Linked DNA regions of Cricetulus griseus. The protein of the gene in region 1 interacts with the protein of each later gene in a biochemical or structural test. Links are inferred from orthologs where the notes say so. Each region holds a gene or a part of one and is shown in the gene's direction. Other genes may lie near its edges.

Region 1 (4,324 bases):
ATTCAAAACCAAGCCATAAAAGATTAGCCCCTGCCTATAATCTAAATTTGCTAATCAGTTGTCATCTAACCCTTGATGTTTGAGTGCTCAGTTGAGGAAGCTGGAGTAGGGAATGGTGAACTACATAGTGTTCACTACCAGTTGGTTACCTATGTTTATTTTTATGTGGGTTTAATGTTTCACCAGTGGTTCAACCTGCAGGATTCTAGGCTTATCGTGTCACTCTCCTTAAGAGGGGGGGGGGAGACACTGAGACTGTACCTGGCAAACATGTGTTCACACATGCAAACCTCTTGTCCCCTTTACTAACTATCTTGCTGTTTGCTCATGGCAGCAAAAACCCGGGCAGCTGACCTGTTGGTGAACCCTCTGGATCCACAGAATGCAGATAAAATTAGAGTAAAAATTGCTGATCTGGGAAATGCTTGTTGGGTGGTAAGTAGAGTTTTCTTTTTACATTTTAATGATGATATTGTGTGAGAACATGCTTCTTTTAAAACAATATGTATCACCTCTATTCCATTCCAGCATAAACATTTTACAGAGGACATCCAGACTCGGCAGTATAGGTCCATAGAGGTTCTGATCGGAGCTGGCTACAGCACACCTGCAGACATCTGGAGTACAGCTTGCATGGTGAGGACCCCTTTGTTATGTTTTTATTTAAAGAGAGGAAAAGAGAAAGCTGAAGGATGAGACATGTTGACTAGTTTATTATATGGGCCTGGCAGAGTAGGAAGACTAGGAGAAGAGGAACAGGGGTAATGGTTGACTGCCATAGCCGGTCGTCATAGAGGCAGAGAGAGTGCATAGGTGAGAGAGAGCCAAGAAGAAACAGAGGAGAGTAGAGAGGAAGCAGAGAGAGAGAAGCGGGAAGTTGGGACTTTTAAAGGGAAGACTGCGCATGCGCACTTAGGTTCCACGCATGCCCAGAGTCGTCATGGGTGACAGGTGACGTAGTGATGACGTAGAACGTTTTCTTGGGCATGCCCTGACTGTTCAGGGGTCAGGGTCTGTCTCTTAAAGAGGTAGAGCCAATCAGCATCAAAGCCTGAACCTTTCACTCTTGCCACTCTTCTTTCCCTGGAAATGACTTCTGGTGGATCCTCTTGATGAGTGGAATCATGCTGGAGATTTATAAAGTGGGGGAGGAGAAGATTGTGCTTGGGTGTTACAAGCATTGGAAGAATTCTCCTCAGATATGCTAGAGGTATAGTCTGTGACAGATGGTCTCTTCTTTGGGCACCGTGCAGCCCAGTGCCCCAAGAATCAGACTTCATTGGAGGAATTGCTTTTAGTTTCTGGAAGTTTTCACGTGTATCAGGCTCCCTGTTACACTATGAGGTAAAGCCAAATGCCTTCTCACACGAGTGGGGTGACTGTACTTAAAAGTTTGTACCACTGGAAGGTGGCCTCTCCCAGAGGTCTTGAGATTTCTCCATCTGCCAGTGCACAGTTGCTTTTATTGTAACTCAAATGCAGAGAGTTCTGCCCCTTTTTTTGGCATGTGCTTGCTTTCCTGAGACAGCATTGGTGGCACAGACTTCCTGGGTTTGAGTCTGTTTCCCTGGAACACAGTGTTGTTTTCCTGGAGGCAGCAGGAACATCCCTTTGATTTGAACATTCTGAATTTTTGTCTTTGTAAGCTAAACCCAGACTCACCACACATCATGCACACAAGTACACATGTGTATATAGCTGCGTGCACATATGCATGCATGTGAGTGTAAAAGACAGGTCATCCTTGGGTGTTACTCTTCAGTCATCCACCTTGTTTTCTTGAGACAAGCTATCTCATTGTTCTAGAGCTCTTGGTTAGGTTAGGCTGGCTGCACTGAGCACCAGGGCTTGTTTGTTTCCACCTCTCTAATGCTGGTTTACAAGCCCATGCTGCCATGCCTGGCCTTTGTGTGTGTAAGTTCTGGAGATCAAACTCATGGGCTTCCATGGTAGACACTTTAACAACTGAGCCATTGCTTCAGCGCAACTCTTTTTATTTGTCCCATTTTTAAAATGTAGTCCAGACTGGTCTCAAAACTCGTTTCCTGAGTGCTGAGGTTACGACATAGCTACTGCACCAGGCTTTTGTGTACCGTTTGCTATTTGCTCTGATCTGAATTGGTGACCCTGAGTAGGTCCTCACCTGTGAGCTAATACCAGTTTGTCTTTCACTGAGCATCCAGCCAGTTCAGCACATTCTTCTCACTGGGCTTTTGTTGTTCTTTGGTAGAAAAGGTGGCATGCGTGTGTTCATGTAGCTTCCAGTGCTGCCATGGCTATCCTATAGTATTGCTTAAGTTTTTTGTAGTTCCAGGGATGGAGCCCAGAGGTTCACCCCCACTAGCCAAGTATGCAAGGCTTAGTGCTCACCTTCTGAAAGGGCAGGTAGGAGGGAGCAGAATAAATATGATGGTTACCTGTTGTTCAGAACTTAATTTAATCACTGTTTTGAATCTTCTGTATTTTATGTCCAGTAGTGCTAATATAAAGCCATTTTAACTATTTAAAAACTTTTGGCCAGTTGTGTTGATGCACACATTTAGTCTCAGCACTTGGGAGGCAAAGACAGGCAGATCTCTGTGAGTTCGAGGCCAGCCAAGGCCACACAGAGAAACCCTGCCTTGAAAACCCCCTCTCTATCTATCTATTCATATTCATATTCATATTCATATCTGTGTGTCATTATGCATGCCTGGTGCCTGTGGAGGTCAAAAGAGGGTGTCTCATCCCCTGGGACTGGTGTTGCCACTGAGCTGCCGTGTCTATATTATTCTAGAAGCTGAACCTGGGTCCTCTGCAATAGTAGCACATGCTCTTAACTGCTGAGCCATCTCTCCAGTCCAATGTAAAAGCATTTTGTTAAGCAGATGATACAGGGTGATGTGAGAAACATGAGATGCTTTTCATCTTTCAAGTTATCACTATCTGAAATTATTGATGTGGCCTGGCCAGACATGAAACACCATGCCTTCCTAGACTCTTGTTCTAGTAACTCCAGAAAATAAATGTAAAATTATTAAAAACTTTTGTTTTTCAATAAGAACCTACAGTCAAGTTCTTAGTGTTTGAAAGAAGCTACCGTCCATGTGATAGGTACTTCCTTTTGAGGATTTGTGTGGAGAGGCTTTTGTTCTGCAGTTTGAGGGTAGAGGAAGTAGAGGCTAAAATTACAGGAGGCAGAGGCCAGGTCAGAAGGAAATGACTTCCTTGACAGAATGGGCAGTGTGTGTCTCCCATTTCAGGCTGTGGCAAGGCAAATTGCTATTTGTCCTCAGCAATACAGAAGGCCGTGGGTCAGGAATTCTGTGTTACCTCTTTGTACATAGGTGTCCTTGTCCAAATAGGGGAGGGAGCTCTTGTGTCTCCCTGGTGAGTCCTGGTTATCAGCAGAATGAAAAAAAAAAAAAACAAAACAAAACTTAGGACAAATTATTGTCACGTGTATTTGCTTCCTCCTCCATGGCTTGTTCTCTAGGAAGAACAGTGACTTCACTCACAACCTTGCAGGCTTGTTCCTTTGGAAAGCTCCCACCGCAGTCACTGGACTGACAAAAGCCTCCAGCTCTAAGCACCCCCAGAACTGACAACAGACAGGACCCAGGGAAACAGAAAGAGACTCCAGAGTTGCCTAATATTGAATACAAACAATAGAACTTGACATAGAGAACAGCTTAGTCAGTAGGTGGCAATAATGTTTCCTGTTTCCACAGCTGCTAGCATTAAACATGTGTTTTCATTGTCACGTGTGTTTACCCTGTTGTCTGTTGTATTAAGAAAGCTAATCACTCTTTCTATCCAGGGAGCCATTCTCCCTTTCTCTTTTTCTAATTCTCTCTCTTTTTTTGTTTCCCTCTTTAAAAAAGATTTATTTTATGTGTTTGGGTCCTTTGCCTGCATGTATATCTGTGTACCACATGTAGGTGGATTCCATGGAGGCCCGAGGAGAATATCAGATCCTATGGAACTGTAGTTACAGACAGTTGTGAGACTACCATGTGGGAACTGAACCCTGGGCCTCTGCTCTTAAGCAGCCAGTGCTATTAATCCCTGAGCCATCTCTCCAGCCCCATCCTCTTCTTCTTCTTCTTCTTTTTAAATCATTTCATTGATAGCCTTCTCTAAGCACTACATTGGAAACCTGAGTGCTGTTCAAAACAACCATCTTTTAAAGGACATCTGTCTTTGCCCATCTCAATGTTGGGCAAAGAGAAGTAGCCTCAATGAAAAGGGTGAGCACAAGCCTCAAGAGGGACTAACTCGGATGGAAGGTTTTCCTTGGAACCAGGATCCCAGTAGCTTCTAAAGTCTCTTCCATCCTGTTAGA
Region 2 (4,806 bases), on another chromosome or scaffold:
TCTTTAAAAAAATTGTAATTCTGGACGGACGGTGGTGGTGCAAGCCATTAATCCCAGCACTCCGGAAGCAGAGGCAGGTGGAGGCCAGCCTGGCCTACAGAGTGAGTTCCAGGTTAGCCATAGTTACACAGTGAAACCCTGTCTCGAAAAACCAAAAAGTAAATCAACAAATAAATACACAGTAATTTTGAAAAAGCCAGGCATGGTGGAACACACCTTTAATCCCAGAGCCCGAGAGGCATACACAGTAATTTTGAAAAAGCCAGGCATGGTGGAACACACCTTTAATCCCAGAGCCCGAGAGGCAGAGGCAGTCTCTGAGTTCGTGGCTAGCCTGGTTCAGAGCGAGATCCAGGACAGCCAAGAAGACAACACAGTGAAATACTGTCTCGGAAAAAAAAAAAAAAAACCCACAGTGCGACTATTCGACTTCTATGGACAAGTAAAATGGCCTGCCTCATCATTGCAGTTTCACTCGTACTAACCCTCAGCAGGCATCTCTCATCTCAAGCCTTAGGACAACCACTTGACAAGGTTACATTCTGTTCTAGGCTAGCCCCTAGAAAGTAGAAAGCGGGCCATTAGACTTTCTCTTTTGTGACTGGCGATGAAAGCCTCCCCCACCCCCCAAGGGCAACCCATTTGGAGAGGATTCCTGAGCAGGCCGGGACGCCAAAGCACAAGAGATAACTTAGAGAAAGTCTCTCTCTGGGCGCAATCGCTAGTTGATAAAGTGGAGAAGAGCATCAGCTTCGCCGTTCCATAGAAAACGTTGCGAGGGTTTTTCAGAGGCAGTGCTTATGAAAAGCCAGAGCCTTAGGCACCCGAGGGCAAGCCACACACACACACTTCTCTGAGGTGGACTTCCGGCTTCCACAGGGCAAACACTCGGTTTCCCGCAGAGCAGGAAGTATTCCAGGACCTTGGTGGAGCCAAGAAGGGTCTGTTTGCTAGCAGAGAACAGTGCCCGCCACTTAATAGGTGCTTGGTGCATGTGTGTGGACCGAAATCATTAAGTCTGTGAAGAACGAGCCGCACTCACCACGCCGAAGCTTGCCAGGTCTGGCCGCTGCCTGGCGCTTTCCACCGCCTCCAGTCCAGGCACTCGGGGAGCTAGCTACACAAGGCTCGCCCGTCCGAGCTGGGGTCCTCCCGGGACAGCCAGCTGCGCTGCGCACCCACCGCACGCGCCAGAGTCGGAATGGAAGGCAGAGCAAAAACTTTTCCCGCCACTAGCCGTAACTCCGCCCACAGCCTGATCCCGATTGGCGTTCTCAACCATGTCGCCACGCCTACCCAGGGCTCATGACGTATTTCCGCCATCGCTGATGCCCGCCCTGCGTAGTTCCGGGGAAGTGTTCAGCGTCGCAGTTTCCGCTTCCAAGCGGGTTGCTTTCAGCTGTTAGAAGGGTTTCCCCAGCCTCTGAAGGTCTTTTTTTAAACCTGGATGTGACGTATTGAAGAAGCCGACGGAAATAGAATCGAAAGCGTTCTAAAATGGCGAACCGTACGGTCAAGGATGCCCACAGCATCCATGGCACCAACCCTCAGTATCTGGTGGAGAAGATCATTCGGACTCGAATCTATGAATCAAAGTACTGGAAAGAGGAATGCTTTGGACTTACGGGTGAGTGACAGAGTGCGGCCCGCGTCTCGGCCTTGCGGCTGGCTTCTTCTAATTCAATGAGGAAGGATAGACCCTCGGGTGTTGGTACTGCAAAAGAGTATGTCAACCATTCACATAAATAGCTGTGTGCCTAGACCCGTACCAGACAGGACACAGACAAAGCTGACAGGGACTCTCTTGATGCTGAAGGGTTTCTTTAGGTTCTTTGAGCCGTTCCAGGCTGGCCTCGAACTCAGAGATCTGCCTGCCTCTGCCTCCCGAGTGCTGGGATTAAAGGCGTGCGCCACCACCGCCCCGCATGTGATGGTATTGACAAGACTTTTTTCTGCACGATTTGTTGGATAAAGATCGAAGACTCATGAGCCACACCCTTCCTTGACGGACTACAAATAATTAATGGGGGCTGGGATAAGGGGTATTTCTTTCTTCAATGGGGTAGCCCCAGGCAGTCATTTTTTATTACTATTGTTAAGAAGCACCTGTTCTCCCAGTATTAATTAAATTCTTGTTGACTATTTAGCAGCTCTAAACATCTGTTTCACCTTCCAACCAAGAAAAGCTAAGACCTTTATTATGTCTAAGATGTCACTATTTGTGTTTGATTATTTCAGCTGAACTTGTAGTCGACAAAGCCATGGAGTTAAGGTTTGTGGGTGGTGTCTATGGTGGAAACATAAAGCCAACTCCTTTCCTGTGTTTAACCTTGAAGATGCTTCAAATTCAACCTGAGAAAGATATCATTGTTGAGTTCATAAAAAATGAAGATTTCAAGTGAGTACAATGTTGACTAGTACAAAAATTTTAGTGGTTCAGAATTTGGCTTTGTTAGTAGGACTGAGTGTTATATGTTTAATTTTCACGGGCTTTTGCCCTTGAATTTTGTATTTTGGCTGTTGTGATTATGTAGACCTTCTACTTTATCAGTCTTGGTAACTTCCCCTTCTCCCAAAAGTATTTCACAAATTAAATAAATTCATGCAAATACCTGTACATGTACAGATACACACTATGTCATCAAAATGATATGTTGGTAGGCAGTAGATATGGGAATCATACAACATAGAATTTTAGTTAACAGGTTAAATCTGTATCTTATCCAGACTTTGCTACCTATTGACTGTGAGCCTCTTTAATTTTTTAAGCATAGCAATGCATGGTAACCATAATAAACTGCTCCATATTTATTATCCATTCTCTAGGCGTTCAGAGTCAGGTAAATAGCTAATTATGTACCATGATGTGTTTAAGGGTTCTACATATAGGGATTCTTTTTTTTTTTTTTTTTTTCACTCCACCAATTTAAAAATATGATACCTGTTTTACTTGTGAAGAAACTGAGACTCCCGGAGAGATTGTCAGTAATTTGCCTAAGGTCAGATGAGTATGTGGCAGGTCTGGGCTGAGATAAAGCTTGGTAGTAGAAGAAATGGTAGTAGAAGAAAAGTTTTATCCCCCATTGTGAATTGGGGAGGCAAAGCTGGCTTCAGAGTACACTTTCTTCCTGTGGGTTTTGTTTTGTTTTTTTAATTGAGATAGTGCCTTACTATGTAGTGCTGGCTGGCCTTGTATTTATGGCAGTTCTCTGTCCTCTGCCTCCTGAGTGCTCAGCCTCAGCTACAACTCATGTCAGAGTACATATTCTCTGTGATAGTGCTCTTCTCATAAGATGGATCTTGGATTTCAGATGGAGATTTGAGTAAGGAATTGAATACATGAAAAAGGAAAAAGAAGGAATATTACCAAAAAAGAAAAAAGAAAAAGGCTAGAAAAATAGCTAATTTTGTATGCTCATGTCCTTCTGACACAGTTTTCTTTGCATTTTTTTATGGCACCAAGGCAGTAAATTAGGTTGCAGCTTTCCATTTTAGAGGTTGAGAAAATAAGCTTCATGTCTGCTATCAAAGTTAGTAATATATGAAGTCAGAATTTTAACCTCTATGACTTTGATCTTTTTCCAGAACCTGTTTGTGGCTATGTATGCTTGTTCTAGCATTGTTGTAAAATGTATATAATGCCTTGTGTTAAATTTATTATCTTTCTGGAACCTTAGGCTAATTCTTTTTTTTTTTTTTTTTTTTTTTTGGTTTTTCAAGATAGGGTTTCTCTGTGGCTTTTGGCTTAGGCTAATTCTGTGAAGTTTTACAGATAATATATTTGAAAGCTCCCCTAGCCAGTAATCCATAGATGAGAAAGTTCATTAGGTCTCCATATTTTAGCCATCATCTGTTCTATGGTACCTTCAATATTATGACTTTCTTACCTGATAATGAGAAGGAAAACAAACTTTTATCTGCTATTGTCATGAGAAAAGCCAGTTATAACACTCAGGAACTCTTAGGATGGCTTGTTGCGTCAATATCTTTTCTCTGTTAGGTATGTCCGCATGTTGGGGGCACTTTACATGAGGCTGACAGGAACTGCAATTGATTGCTACAAGTACTTGGAACCTTTGTACAATGACTATCGAAAAATCAAGAGCCAGAACCGAAATGGGGGTGAGTATGATACCAAGTCTCTAGACTATAATTCCTGGGCCATTTGTATTTCCCCTGTATCTCTACTCATTTTTATATACATTAAATCTTTCTCTTCATCTGCATGATGGCTGTCTTCACCCAAATTTTCCATCTCCCCCACTGGTTGGCCTTAACCCTTTTGGTACATGGCTGCCTCCCTTTCCAGCGGCATTTTATGCTCAACACTGACTTACATCAGATATATCTTCCATACCTGTTCCATCCACAAGATCTGGAAGCTTAAAAATGGTTTCTCTATAAAACCTGAATTAGCCTGCCCCAAGTAATTTTCCAAATATTACAACTTCACATTTTTTTCCCCCTTGCAGGCCACTTATCTACGACTCTATTCCATGCTATACTTTGTAGACTAAGTGGACCTATATTAATCATGTAGAGATTAACAAGGAGATATCGCTGTATATTTTACACATAACACCTTTGTTTTGTCTTGATTTGAGGGCATGTGGACCAGGCTTCCTTCAACACTGTGTAGCTAAAGATGACCTCAGGCTTTGGATTCTATAGTCTCTGCCTCCTAAATATGAGAATTACAGGTGTGCACCACCATGCCTGTCTTTTCTGGGGGAAGTGGAGGAGCAGCATTGGAGAAACTGAACCTCATGCATGTGAGATAAATACTCTGGCACCAGGCTCCAGGCC

What was found. The genes of interacting proteins can lie anywhere in the genome.
Region 2: of the proteins of Srpk2 (region 1) and Prpf38a, one has a biochemical effect on the other in vitro, tested with the Homo sapiens proteins (2 studies listed by BioGRID and IntAct). The link is inferred for Cricetulus griseus from reciprocal best matches to the Homo sapiens genes SRPK2 and PRPF38A.

What each region holds. Positions count from the first base shown.
Region 1 is NW_023276806.1:171,093,307-171,097,630, forward strand, and holds part of Srpk2 (SRSF protein kinase 2), read left to right. Parts: intron 1-334; coding exon 335-435; intron 436-528; coding exon 529-636; intron 637-4,324. UniProt on the Homo sapiens protein: Serine/arginine-rich protein-specific kinase which specifically phosphorylates its substrates at serine residues located in regions rich in arginine/serine dipeptides, known as RS domains and is involved in the phosphorylation of SR splicing factors and the regulation of splicing.
Region 2 is NC_048595.1:41,238,472-41,243,277, forward strand, and holds the start of Prpf38a (pre-mRNA-splicing factor 38A), read left to right. Parts: upstream 1-1,362; 5' UTR 1,363-1,497; coding exon 1,498-1,627; intron 1,628-2,238; coding exon 2,239-2,398; intron 2,399-4,000; coding exon 4,001-4,122; intron 4,123-4,806. UniProt on the Homo sapiens protein: Involved in pre-mRNA splicing as a component of the spliceosome.